Struthio camelus: one gene and its partners. Each later gene encodes a partner of the first gene's protein in a complex. Links are inferred from orthologs where the notes say so. Each region holds a gene or a part of one and is shown on either strand. Other genes may lie near its edges.

The links.
Region 2: the proteins of PTPRG (region 1) and contactin-4 are in contact, whole or in part, in a crystal structure (PDB 3KLD), measured with the Mus musculus proteins. The link is inferred for Struthio camelus from reciprocal best matches to the Homo sapiens genes PTPRG and CNTN4. Residues at the interface, in NP_033007.2 of Mus musculus: Lys222, Val225, His226, His227, Lys229, Phe288, Thr290, Gln293, Asp294, His295, Val296, Lys297, Ser298, Val299, Glu300, Tyr301; in NP_001103219.1 of Mus musculus: Thr128, Arg129, Ser130, Val132, Ser133, Arg135, Gln138, Gly139, Met140, Val141, Leu142, Leu143, Cys144, Gly145, Val219, Met220, Gly221, Glu222, Tyr223, Glu224, Pro225, Lys226, Glu228, Leu250, Asn304.
Region 3: the proteins of PTPRG (region 1) and CNTN6 are in contact, whole or in part, in a crystal structure (PDB 5E5U), measured with the Mus musculus proteins. The link is inferred for Struthio camelus from reciprocal best matches to the Homo sapiens genes PTPRG and CNTN6. Residues at the interface, in NP_033007.2 of Mus musculus: Val225, His226, His227, Lys229, Phe288, Thr290, Gln292, Gln293, Asp294, His295, Val296, Lys297, Ser298, Val299, Glu300, Tyr301; in NP_059079.2 of Mus musculus: Arg129, Val132, Arg135, Gln138, Gly139, Val140, Val141, Leu142, Leu143, Cys144, Gly145, Met222, Gly223, Tyr225, Glu226, Pro227, Lys228, Glu230, Leu252, Asn306.

What each region holds. Positions count from the first base shown.
Region 1 is NC_090955.1:11,522,510-11,526,253, reverse strand, and holds the start of PTPRG (receptor-type tyrosine-protein phosphatase gamma), read right to left. Parts: upstream 2,598-3,744; 5' UTR 2,568-2,597; intron 1,986-2,567; exon of another isoform or gene 1,906-1,985; intron 1,802-1,905; 5' UTR 1,770-1,801; coding exon 1,685-1,769; intron 1-1,684.
Region 2 is NC_090955.1:3,629,084-3,632,827, forward strand, and holds the start of contactin-4, read right to left. Parts: upstream 2,882-3,744; 5' UTR 2,867-2,881; intron 1-2,866. UniProt on the Homo sapiens protein: Contactins mediate cell surface interactions during nervous system development. Has some neurite outgrowth-promoting activity. May be involved in synaptogenesis.
Region 3 is NC_090955.1:4,036,152-4,039,895, forward strand, and holds the start of CNTN6 (contactin-6), read right to left. Parts: upstream 2,659-3,744; 5' UTR 2,111-2,658; intron 1-2,110. UniProt on the Homo sapiens protein: Contactins mediate cell surface interactions during nervous system development. Participates in oligodendrocytes generation by acting as a ligand of NOTCH1.

The DNA of each region.
Region 1 (3,744 bases):
CGGGAAAGCTAAAGGCGCGAAAGCCCCTTCCTGGGAAATAAGCTGGCTTCTCCGAGCCATCCCGCCCGGCGGCTGACGGCCCCCCCCCCCCCCCCCCCCCGGGGAGACGTTCCCCGAGCGTCGCCCGGTTGCTTGGCGGCTCCCTGCCGGGCTTCAGGAGTCGACCCACGGCGGGGGGCAACTCCCGCCGCCCCTCCGGCCGCGTCGCCAACGGCCCCGGCGTGGCAGCGGGGCGCCCGGCACGTTGCGCCGGCCCGGCCGGCCGCTCCCAGGGGTCGTTACGGCGCCGCACGCCTCAGGGCCGGAGCGAACGGCCTCGCTCCCCGGCCCGCAACGCAGAAGGAAATCAAGGCAAAGAGGAGAAACGTTTCTCCAAGGGCGGCAGAGCCGTTAACCCCCCCGCCAGCGGGGGCTGGCTCGGCCGCCAACCGCGCGAGGGGCCGAGAAGTTGCTGGAAGGAGCGGGATGCGACGGGGCTACCTCTGCGCTCCGGGTTTGGGGCGGGGGGGGGATAAAAAAAATTGAGTAAAAAAAAAAAAATAAAGCGGTGTAATTTTTAAGGACGGAGCGGGGAGTTTCTGCGGAGCTCCCCCAGGGCTGCGCTCCCCTCCCTCCCCGCGGCGCCGCCGGGAAGCGGCCGGCGCGGCCCCCGCCCAGGCCGCGCCTCAGGCGACTTCCCCCGCCCGCGGCCCCCCACAGCCGGGGCCCCCCGATCTGAGCGGGGTGGTGGGGGGCGGGAGGGGCAAACTCGGGCGAAAGGAGGCGCGGAGGCTGCGCGCGGGCGGAGGGGCGGCGGGGGCGCGCGGAGCGGCGCGGCGCAGCGCGGCCCCGCGGGGGCGCCGGCAGGGCGGCAGCGCCCCTGGCGGACGGGCGGCGGCACCGCGGCGGCGGCCCGGGTTGGGGGGGGGGGTGCAGCCCGGAGCCCGGCAACTTCCCCCGGGCCGCGCCGTGGGGGGGGACACGACACGGTCACGTCGCGCGGTGGTGGGGGGAGCTCCTAGCCGGCCCCGTCGCGCGGGGGGGGGGGTTCGCGGCGCGGAGGGACCGGCGGTGGGGAGCGGGGCGCCGGGTGGCCCCCCACGCGCCGGCATCGCGCCCTCGCCGCGGGTGGCAGTGGAGAGGAGAGCGTGCACGGACGGCACACGTACCCCCGTCCCGTGTCCCCCTCCCTCCTCCACCAAGGTCAGCGCGCCGGCACGGCGCGGCACCCGGGCGGACACGCGTGGTGGTGGTAGTGGTAGGAGACCCGCGCACTCCTCAATTGCCTCTTACGCGGGGGTTTTGCAGAAACGGGCGAGGGCGCGGAGCCGACGGCTGGAGCCAGTCCCGAGGCACAAAGGCAACTCCCCCCCCTCAACGGCCCCACGCAGCCCCGCGCCCGAGGGGCAGCGGTCCGGGACCCGCCGCCCCACGCTGAGGGCTGCAATGCACCGCGCCCGGGTGACACCGCGCCGGCTGCACGGAGCCGAGCTCCCGCACCGCGCACGGCCCCACTCGCGGCACCGCTGCCCCTGCTTTAGGGCGCGAGGTAAAAGCACCGGCCACCCCCTCCCCGCGCAAAAAGCTAGCGGGGCCCCCCGCGGCCGCAAGCACAGCCCCGCGCCCACAGGGGTCGCGGACACGCGTGACGGCAGCGCCGGGACCCCCCCCCTTCCTCCGGCGCCCACCGCCCGCGCGCACTCACCGGGGAAGCACACCACATCATGGAGCACGGAGCTGGTGATTTTCAAGAAAAAGATCCACCAACACGGTTGCAGTAGCCTCCGCATGTCCAAAGCCGCACATCGAAAGGGGAGAGGGGCTAAAATAATTAATTTAAAAAAAAAAAAAAACTTGTTGAAAATAAGTTTCTCCCCCCAAACACCCCCCTCTCCCTGCGGGAGACAGCGGGGGGCTTCTGCTCACCTCCGTTTAAAAAAAAAAAAAAAGGAAGAAGAAGAATGAAAAATAAACGCCGGAGCCGGGGCGGGGGGGAGCGCGGGGCGCCGCGCGGGGGCGGGCGGCGGCGGGCGCGGGGCGCGCGGCTCAGGCGGGCGGCGGGCGCGGGGCGCGCGGCATGCCGCGGACGGGGCGCTCAGAGCCGCCTCCGCGCGCGGGCGGGCGGGCGGTGGCGGTCAGCCGGGGCCCCGGCGCGCTCCATCCTGCCGTACAGGAAGTGGCGGGCGAGCCCGGATCCTGGCGGAGACTTTAAAGCGGGGCGAGGGAGCGGGAGAGGCAGCGCGGCGAGGCGGCAGCGGCAGCAGGAGTGGCGGCGGCGGCGCGCCGGGCGCCCCGGCGGCGCGCCCCCGCCGCCCTTAAAGCGGCCGCGGAGGAGGCGGCAGCGGCGTGCGCGCGCGCGGCGGGTTTGGGATGGTGGCGGCGGCGGCGGCGGGGGGAGCCGCTGGTGCACGCGCGTGCGCGCACCCGCACCGCTGCCCTGCCACCGGGGCCCCGCCGCGCACCGCCCCTTTCGCCGGCGCTGCCGGGCGGGGGGGCGCGCTGCCTCCGGCGGGGGTGGGTTTGGGGGAGAACGCGCGGCCGAGCCGAGAGCGTTTTGCCGTTTGTAACGTCGCATTTTGCACTCTTACCTCGCTGCCGCCTGTTGGAAGTTACTCGCGTCCTCACGCCGCACCGTGCGTGCTGCGGGGGGGGGGGGTTGCTTTCGGGTCCCCCCCACCCCTCCCCCAGTAGCGTGCATCGTTCTGCCTGTTGCTAGAGGTCCCTCACAAAATCCTGTGTTGTGGTTTATTTTCCCCCCCAATATCGCATATCGTGCTGGGGATTGCCAGAGATCGCCCACAAAACCACAGCCGTCCCGTCCCGCCCCCCCCACTACTGTACATCCTACGAGGCATTTCCAGCGTTCCCCCACGAAACGAGGTAGCCGCCTGGTTTTTTGGCGGCATCAGGTGAAGCTTGGCCCAAGGCGCTCTGCAACCAAATCTTGATCCGCATCTCCCCCCCCCCCCACCGCCCCACAGCAGTTTCCGAGTGATTGATAACTTTGCACAGGAAACAGAAACAGAAAATGGTGTGAATTCAGGATGAAGGGATGGTTGCTCCTACTTGGCGTTTCCTGGCGGTGCTGTGCTCTGCTGAAGCTTAAATTTCATTCTGAAGTAGTTTTTGTCTGTTTCTTTGCTAATTATTTTCATTACAGGGATCCTGTTTCAGAAGGGAAAGGCTTTAGCAGGGGTTTAGCAGAGCGTGCCGGGCTCAGGTCTGGCTCTGTGGTTTGCTGCGATGTCTCCGCTCTGTTTACCTGCTGACTTCCCACATCTGTGGATTGTTTCCAGATGAAAGAGGGGAGATGGGGGGCAGGAGGAGGAAATTCAGAAGCCGCCTTTATTTTCCCAGGTGACTGGAGTGGCAGCGATTGTGCCTGCCCCTCCCAGGGATCGCTAGAGCGGAGCCCTGCCAGGCTTGAATACGTGTCGCCGCTGCACCCTGACTCCTCTGGAGGAGGAGGAGGAGGAGGAGGTTGTGTGTCCATCCAAGTTTGCCCCACGCAGCACAGGGTGCCAAATCCCTGGACTACACTGCAAGCCCGAAGGCCCCTAGTTAGGAAGCACTGCTTTTTCGTAGGCTTCCCTTCACCTTCCTCTGCGCACCCCAGCTTTTGCCTGCCAAAAATCACAGCTGGAAGGTAAGAGTGCAGTCTTTACCAAGCAAAACTCTGTCTATCATGATAGGATTTTACCAGTGTAAGGATTAAAGGGCCTGATGAGATGTTCTGCCCTCGAGGGCAGCACGCTTTTGGGCGTG
Region 2 (3,744 bases), about 7.9 Mb from region 1:
CTTTAGTCCACAAACCAATATATCTACATTGTAGTTAGATTCCTGAACAAAAATCCTAATTTACATCGCAGAGTCAAAACTTGCTCCTTATGCTTTGCGTCCTACATATGAATTATGCATTTGGATTATGAGATCACTAGATTAGTTGTTTTTCAAAAGCTTTGACCCTGCTGGTCCTGAAGGTCTGGCTTCCAGTGATTTAACCCAGCAATTCAAAACCAATCTTTCTTTTTCTTGGTGTCATGCTGAAACAGATTTTTATCCTGGAGATTAAGATAAAAAGTGACTGCTTGTATCTAGGGAAAAGCAAAGAATGAAGTTATTTCCCCGAGTCCAACATATACAGTACGGTAAACACTGTCTGGTGTAGAAAATACTGTTGTCCTCGTTCATAATGAATTGTGAACCTTGTTTATACTAAGACTGTAAGTAGATTTGGCAAAAGAATTTTTTGTTTTAATATTGCCATTTTTGGTGCATGATTGTAGGGGACAGGGAATAGTTATGTACTTTCATGAAACATTAAATCGGCTAGATGTCATCATTATGTATTATTTGCTTTGCTAATAATAAAAAGAATGAATCACTACTGTCATGATATACATATTTATATTTGAGTAACCATTGTAGCAGGTAACAGCAAAGATGTGTGCAAGTTTAAATCTTGGCAGCACGCCTAGATTAGAGCTTCAAAGTTGACATTTTGTGGATTTCATGTGATTCATGTTACTTTTCTGTGTTTGTGATTACCTTCCTGTCAGGGACTGGGCATCACTCATGCAGCAATAAGCAGACTACAATTTCTGTATTTGAAGGCAAATTCCCAACTGTTGCACCAAATGCTGTTCCAAATTAGCCCCGTTTTCTGTATAAGACAAGGTCTGAATAACAGATCACAAGCAAAATCAGAACGAGTACATAAACAGCTTTTACAGGGACGTTATCAGGTCAATTTAGGCCAGAGACGTAGGTTCGGGAAGAAAACCCAGACTCGCTCTAATCTAACATCACTAAAAATAGACTGTGATGATTTATGAACTTTCAAACACAGCAGAGTATTTTTAGGCAACAGAGTTTTTTGCAATGTTTGCAGCAGCCCAAGAACGGCAGCGCTGCGATAGCGGGGCTGCGTCTTCCCGGGGTGCAGGGTGGGCTGCACATTGCGACAGCTGCGCCAACCTGCAACTCGGATGGAGACGAGCCACTGCCAGATTTTCCTTCCCTAATGCTTAACGCATGCAAAATTCAGCAAGACCAAGAGGAGGAAAAAAAAAAAAAAAAAAAAAAGCTCAGCAATGGTCTAGCTATCTTGTGGTTATTACCCTCCCTCCAGCTTTGCCTTGTCTTTACTTCTGATCTTTTTTAATCACGCAAACTACACAGATCTGCCAAAGCCGATCCCTAGAATCAAGTGAAATCAATTACCTGGGAGCAGAACCTCTACCAAATTATTCTGAAGTTCCACATCTGTGGTAGAAATTGTAGAGGAGATCAACAACTACACAAGTTTCCGAGGTGTCACTGATAAGGTAACACATGTGTGTGTTGTAAATCGAGGAAATTTTAATCCCACTAAACTGTAAGGGCTGCGAATCAGAGCTCAACGGCAACGAGAAGCCCTTCTCGACAGGGAGGAGACGGGAGCTCGGACCGGGCGCTCGCGCCCAGGCCCCGCGCAGCAGCCCCCTCGCCCGCAGCCCCGGGGTTTCTGTCTCTAGAACAACTGCTTCTCAGCCGACAGGTAAAAACCAGCATTCGGGAAACAAACAAGGAGGGATTAACGCTAGAAATAGGGAACCGACCACGGCGAAGGGTGGCTCAAATCTCAAAGACCTGCTGTCCTGCGGCGCCGTCCGCCGCCTCCCGGGAAGGTGCTGGGGAGCAGCACGAGCAATGCACAACCGCACCGGCTGCATAAACTTAGGGTTAAAAGGAAACGTCATTTTATCACGTTTAGGGTTTGCATGCTAAGGTAAAAGTCAGGCTTTTTAGAAGCAAAGGAAAGCTTTTCCTCTGCGGTCATTCCCATTGAAAACACAAGTATCTTCATCAGTTAGGACACCGCGAGCTTCGAAGTCTCGGCAGACTAGCTGCCTAGAGGAGAGCTCGCTCCCAAGTTAACTGCGGAGGAAAAGCCGGGAACGCTTTCTGCCCGCCTGAGTTTTGCCAGGATGGTTCGGCTCCAGCTCCGGGCAGCCGCCCCCGCGCAGCGCGGCGGTCGCTACCGCGCACCAGGGGAAGGCTCCGGTGCGGCTTCCCGCGAAGGCGCAGCTCCCTCGCCGCAAAGGGGCTGAAACCAGCCCAAACGCCCGCGGCGGCGCTTCGGTGCGGCCGGGCAGCGAGGCGGGGGGGGGCCGCTCGGCGCGCACCCCTCGGCGGGGCCGCCAGCCGGCGCTTTGGGCGGCCGGTCCGAGGCGGCGGGGAGGGGGGTTATTCCGGGGCCATTTAAGCAGTTCGCGGGGGCTCGCAAACGCAGCGCTCCGCCGGCGCGCAGCCCCGAGCCCCGCGGGCCGCGGCCGCCCAGCGCTCCCCGCCGAGGGGACGCGCAGCCCGGCCCTCCGCAGCCCCCCGCGGAAACCCGCGGAGCGCCCCCGCGGCGGGGCTTGCGCGGCAGCGCGGGCTGCAAGCGAAAAGTTATGCGCGCCCGCGGGAGCCGGCGGGCGCTGCGCGGCCCCCCCCCCCCCCGGCTGCCCGGGCCGCGCCGCCCCGCGGCCGCCCGCGCAGCGCCCCGCGCTCTCCTGCCCGCCTCGCCTGGCTGCGAGCGGTCCCCTCCTTTCCTCATTCATTCCCAGTTCTGTCCCTCTCCTCCTCTTCTTGTCGCCCCCCCGCCCGGGCCCGGGGAAGAGCGGCGCGGAGCGGCGCTTACCTGGGCGGGGCGGGGCGGGGGGCGCGCGGGGCCCCGCGGGGCGGGCGCGGCTGCCCGCGGTGCCGAGGTGCGCGGCCGCCCGCAGCAGCCCGCGGCCGCAGCATTGAGCGTCAGCGGCCGGGAGCCGGGCGGGCGCCGCGCAAGATCCCACCCCCCAAACCTGCGCCGTGCGCGGGGGGCGGGCGCGGGGCCGCGGGGGAGCCGCCGCCCCGCGCCCTCCCCCGCGCGGCCCTGCGCGCTGCCGGGGCCGCTCTGGCCGCGGGGGTGCGGGCGGCCCCGCCTCGGTGCCGAAGGTCTGGACCCCCCCCCCCCCGCCCCCGCTTATGTTTTCCGTTTTGACTCGGGAGGTTTCGGGTGGAGGCGCGTTGCCGTGTTTGCGCCCCGAGGCTGCGGCGGCCGGCGGGTCCCCTCGGGGCAGGAGCTTCCCACCTCTCTCCTTCCCCCCTCTTCAGCAGCCCCAGGCCCGCGGGCAGGAGACCCCAGGCTCCTAAATTACAGCTCTGGGCTTTTTTTCTTTCTTCCCCCCCCCCCCTTCTCTCCCCCGTGTCCGTGTTGGCCTCCGGCACTCACCCCCGCCCCGGCCCCCCGGCCCCCGGGAAGCGCATCCCGCTCGCCCTCGGCCTCTCAGGGCTCCTTCGCTCCGGACCCTCCCGTCCCCGTCCTGATCCCCCTGGCGGAGAGGGGCTCGCTCGGGGAGAGCGGAGGGCCAGCCGGGCGCCGGGCCTCGGCGCGGGGGCCGACGTCCGCAGCTGGGACGTCTCTCGGGGAGGCTCGTGAGGGCCCTCGCTACGCCTCGTGCCTACTGCAACGTGCGTAACTGCCTCGGCAGTCGGAGTCCAGGCTTAATAAGCAAAGTAATGTAAAGGTGTAAAGACAAG
Region 3 (3,744 bases), about 7.5 Mb from region 1:
CTCAGTCTCTTAAAGAGAGTTCCACTTTTAAGCTTGCTTCTCTGTGGCAATTCAGGAGGGTCTGGCTGCACCTGAGGGGCAAAGTCAGCGTGTTTGAGCACTGACTCTGGGCAGCATAGTAGAATTAAGACTTTTTTTAAATTTCCATTTCCCTGAGCAAGCCTTCCATCAGGAAGGTGTGCAGCATTTAACTGACCTCTGGCCGAGGGTTGGTAGAAGGGGATCTGTGGCAATTCTCTTGAAAAAATTCAGTCGAGATTTTAAGCAAAGGGAATGTTCTTCTGTAGTAGCATGCAGTTAATACAGTTCAAAAAAATATATAGCCTTGAAAGCCATTTTGAAGAGCTGATGTATTTCTGTATACCCACAATACAGGGACAAATATTCTTCTAACGAAAATTTTCTGTTCAAATACAAATAGTGTTTCATACCTGCATAATGCAAACATACAACTTTCTATTTCGAGTCTCCTTTGGGATGTTGGCACCTTGTTTTGTGATAGAAATATTTGCTTCAGTAACAAGAAATTAATTTTAGGGTAGCTTATTATGCTACCCTGTGCATTTTAATACTGATTGTAAAGCTGAAAGAAAAGGAAAAGAGACGTCTTCTCTTTGATTTAAAGCACTTAACTTGTTATATATTATTTAAGAGTTTATCCTCAGCATGAAAGGTAACACCTCTAATGCATGACCATCAGTACCTCACCAGCATTTGAAAACTATGGTTGCATATATTGGTATATTTTATTTTTCTTTTTTACACAATAAAATGTGATATATGATAGTTGCTAACTTCATATAGGTACTGATTTGGGACTTTTTAGTGTCATAAAACCTCTGAAGCAGAGGCTCATGGAACATGAAACACTGACATAGTGCCTCTGGAGCACCAGAGCCAAAGCTGGCTGATGAAGATATGTTATTTGTGTTGCTGTGGTGCTTGGAATTACAAGCGCTGCAGGGTTTATTTTCTCTGTCACACACACACACAGTGTCGTGCACACACACACACAGGACTTGCAGAACTTTTTCAAATGTTGGAAGTAGAAGGAAGTAGTCTGGCAGTCCTCCCCTCTTGAGTGGGGCGGAGAAGGAAAAGAAGGGGAAGAAAAACAAGAAAAGGCTACCGTAAAGAATTGAATAATCTGCTTTTGCCTCTTAATTTTTATCTGTGAATTGTTGCAATGTCAAAAAAAGGACAAGTAACTGTTATTTAAATAGGCTGCATAGTGTCTGCTTCTTGTTTAATCATCCAAATACATAAGTACTCTGTGAGTGCTGCAGGAAACGGTTTAGCATTCAGCCTGATTGTTTACAGGCTGTGAGAGGGGACCCTTTATACACGTAACAACTGTCTGAATGCAAGCATACACCCAGGAAGCACTATGGGAGTATATAATTTAACATAAAGCACTAGTCAAACAGTTGCTTGTTTCCTGGAACCACAAACTTTCAAAACTTTTTATAAAGTATTATGTTTCCTTTAAAGCTGTGTCATACACTATAAATAAATGACAACACCAAACCTAGAACTACTTTGCAAATCTTTGGATTTGCAAATCTTTGCGAAAGCGAAGTTCAGTATATGTTGTAACCTTTTTTTCCTTTTTAATTGTTAAGATAAGCAACAAGGGAAGCTTTCTTCAAGGACATAACTTAAATTTTCTGGAAATTTGCATTTATTGCCTTTACACCTTCAGATGGTAGAAATTAGACGACTGTCATAACCCACTTCATTTTTTAATATGCAGTACAAAGTCATATGAAAGTGCCAAAATTAGCACTGTCATCTTCTGTGTTGTCCGTTTTACTGCAGCACAGAGCTGTGATATACTCAAAAAATATACCTGTAGTGTCTGTTACTAGCACAGTCTCCAGTAATGTTTGACTCAAACCTCACATGCATACAAATTCATTACATTCTCCTCTTGCAAGAATAAATACATTTGGAGCATCAGCAATTTATAGAAACACAGCATAAATAAAGCAGTGAATTTTCTGCATTCTCCATCCCTTATGCTAATGAAAATTACTGAGGAAAAAAAATAGAAAATGCAGCTCCCCCAGCATTATTCATATTGCAGTAGACAGCACAATTCTGTACTTACAGATCTGAACAGTGAAATGTCTCAGGATCTTTACAATTTTCTGCAGAACTGTTTGAAGCTCTCAGCAAGCCACAGTGTTCATCGAGGCAGAACGGAGCCGTATGGAATGTCTATGCAGCTGGGAGATAATGGAACTATTTTCCCAGCTGGGACTACAAGCCTTTTATCCACTGAGCATTGCGTGTCTCTTCTCTGGTATTAACCATGAAATACACGGCTTTCCCGCTGTATTCGTGATAGGACCCGCACAATTAGTGCTTGAATCAGATACACAGAGCTGCTACAGTTTATGAATATTGCTATCTAGAAATCTTGAATGTATAAAAATTAGCTCTGTACTAATCATCCTTCAAGCAGGCTGAGAGAGCAAAAGCACAGCTGTCATACTAGTAGCATAAAAGATTAAATGTGCTCTTACTATTCTTTTCATACCAATATGAGCTCCTGTCAGGTAATCAGAAAACCTATCTTCTTGAAAACTGGGGCACCACTCAGGTTTAGAACAGGAATGGGAATAATTTTGTTTGGTTCTTGGTCCCATATTTGCTTCATGCACTCCATGAAATTAAGCTCATAGGATGCAAGTTGACACTCAGATTATATTCCAGCACTGACTGTACTCCTGAAACATTGTAACTACCCCTTCTATGTTTTGCATATTAAATAAAGAAGGAAAGGCTTGCTTGTCTAAAGTAGCACAGACATAAATCCTGATTGCACGTAAACTTCAAACCGTAGATTTCCACTGTTCCTCTTGGGATTGCTTCAGCGAGATCAAATGCAAAGTGCAGACGAGGGAATGCCTTTCCCTTAGTAAGCAGAAGTTATTTGTATTCACAGGGGTGGGAAGTGGAAACAGCAGTTTTCAGAATGGTTCTGCCAAGAAACGTGCAATTAGGTCGCAGGCATTGCTTCACCACATTTTAATGTAATCTCAATGTAAATCCATTAGTTTGTAATGGGATTAATTGCATGGCTGTCTGAACAATGGCAAGTTGAGAGGAAGTGGAAGTCAGGTGGCAAAAACACACACAGAGGCAAGCATACATGTTAAATAGACCAAAATAAGAATTCAGAAAAAGAAATAAGAGCAGTGTGTATCTTCTTTAGCTAGTTTGAATTTACCCCACCTATAAACGTGGAGCGGTTCAGCAGATCTCCTCGGTTTCCAGCATAACTGCTGATTTCAGGGAGCTTGCACCAGGAGTTTAAAGTGTTCGCATACCTATTCCCATGTTGCCTCAATGGCCCTGCTGCAGTACCGATCATTTCAGGCCGCCTCCTCCCTCTCCCCACTGTAGTGTGGACATGCTGCAGCGTAATGGCTCATTCCTCTGCGTCTGAGCATTTGTGCTTTGTCCTCAGCCAGTCGTTAGCCCGCCCAGAGGGATTGCTGGCAATGATAAGTTTACTTTTACTTGAGATGGCTATTTGGTTAAGACACCTTTGAAGAATGATGAAATAACTGTAGCAGAAGAGAAGGTGAAGTGATGGTCTCTCCGAAAAGTAGAGAGCACATGCTTGGAGGAGGTTTCTATCATTTGTCCGCAGGGGAAGAACAGTTCATTGGATGCAGCCTGATTTAAGAGATGTGGGGTTTACCAAATCTCCATGGAGGGCTTCCTGTATGCCCT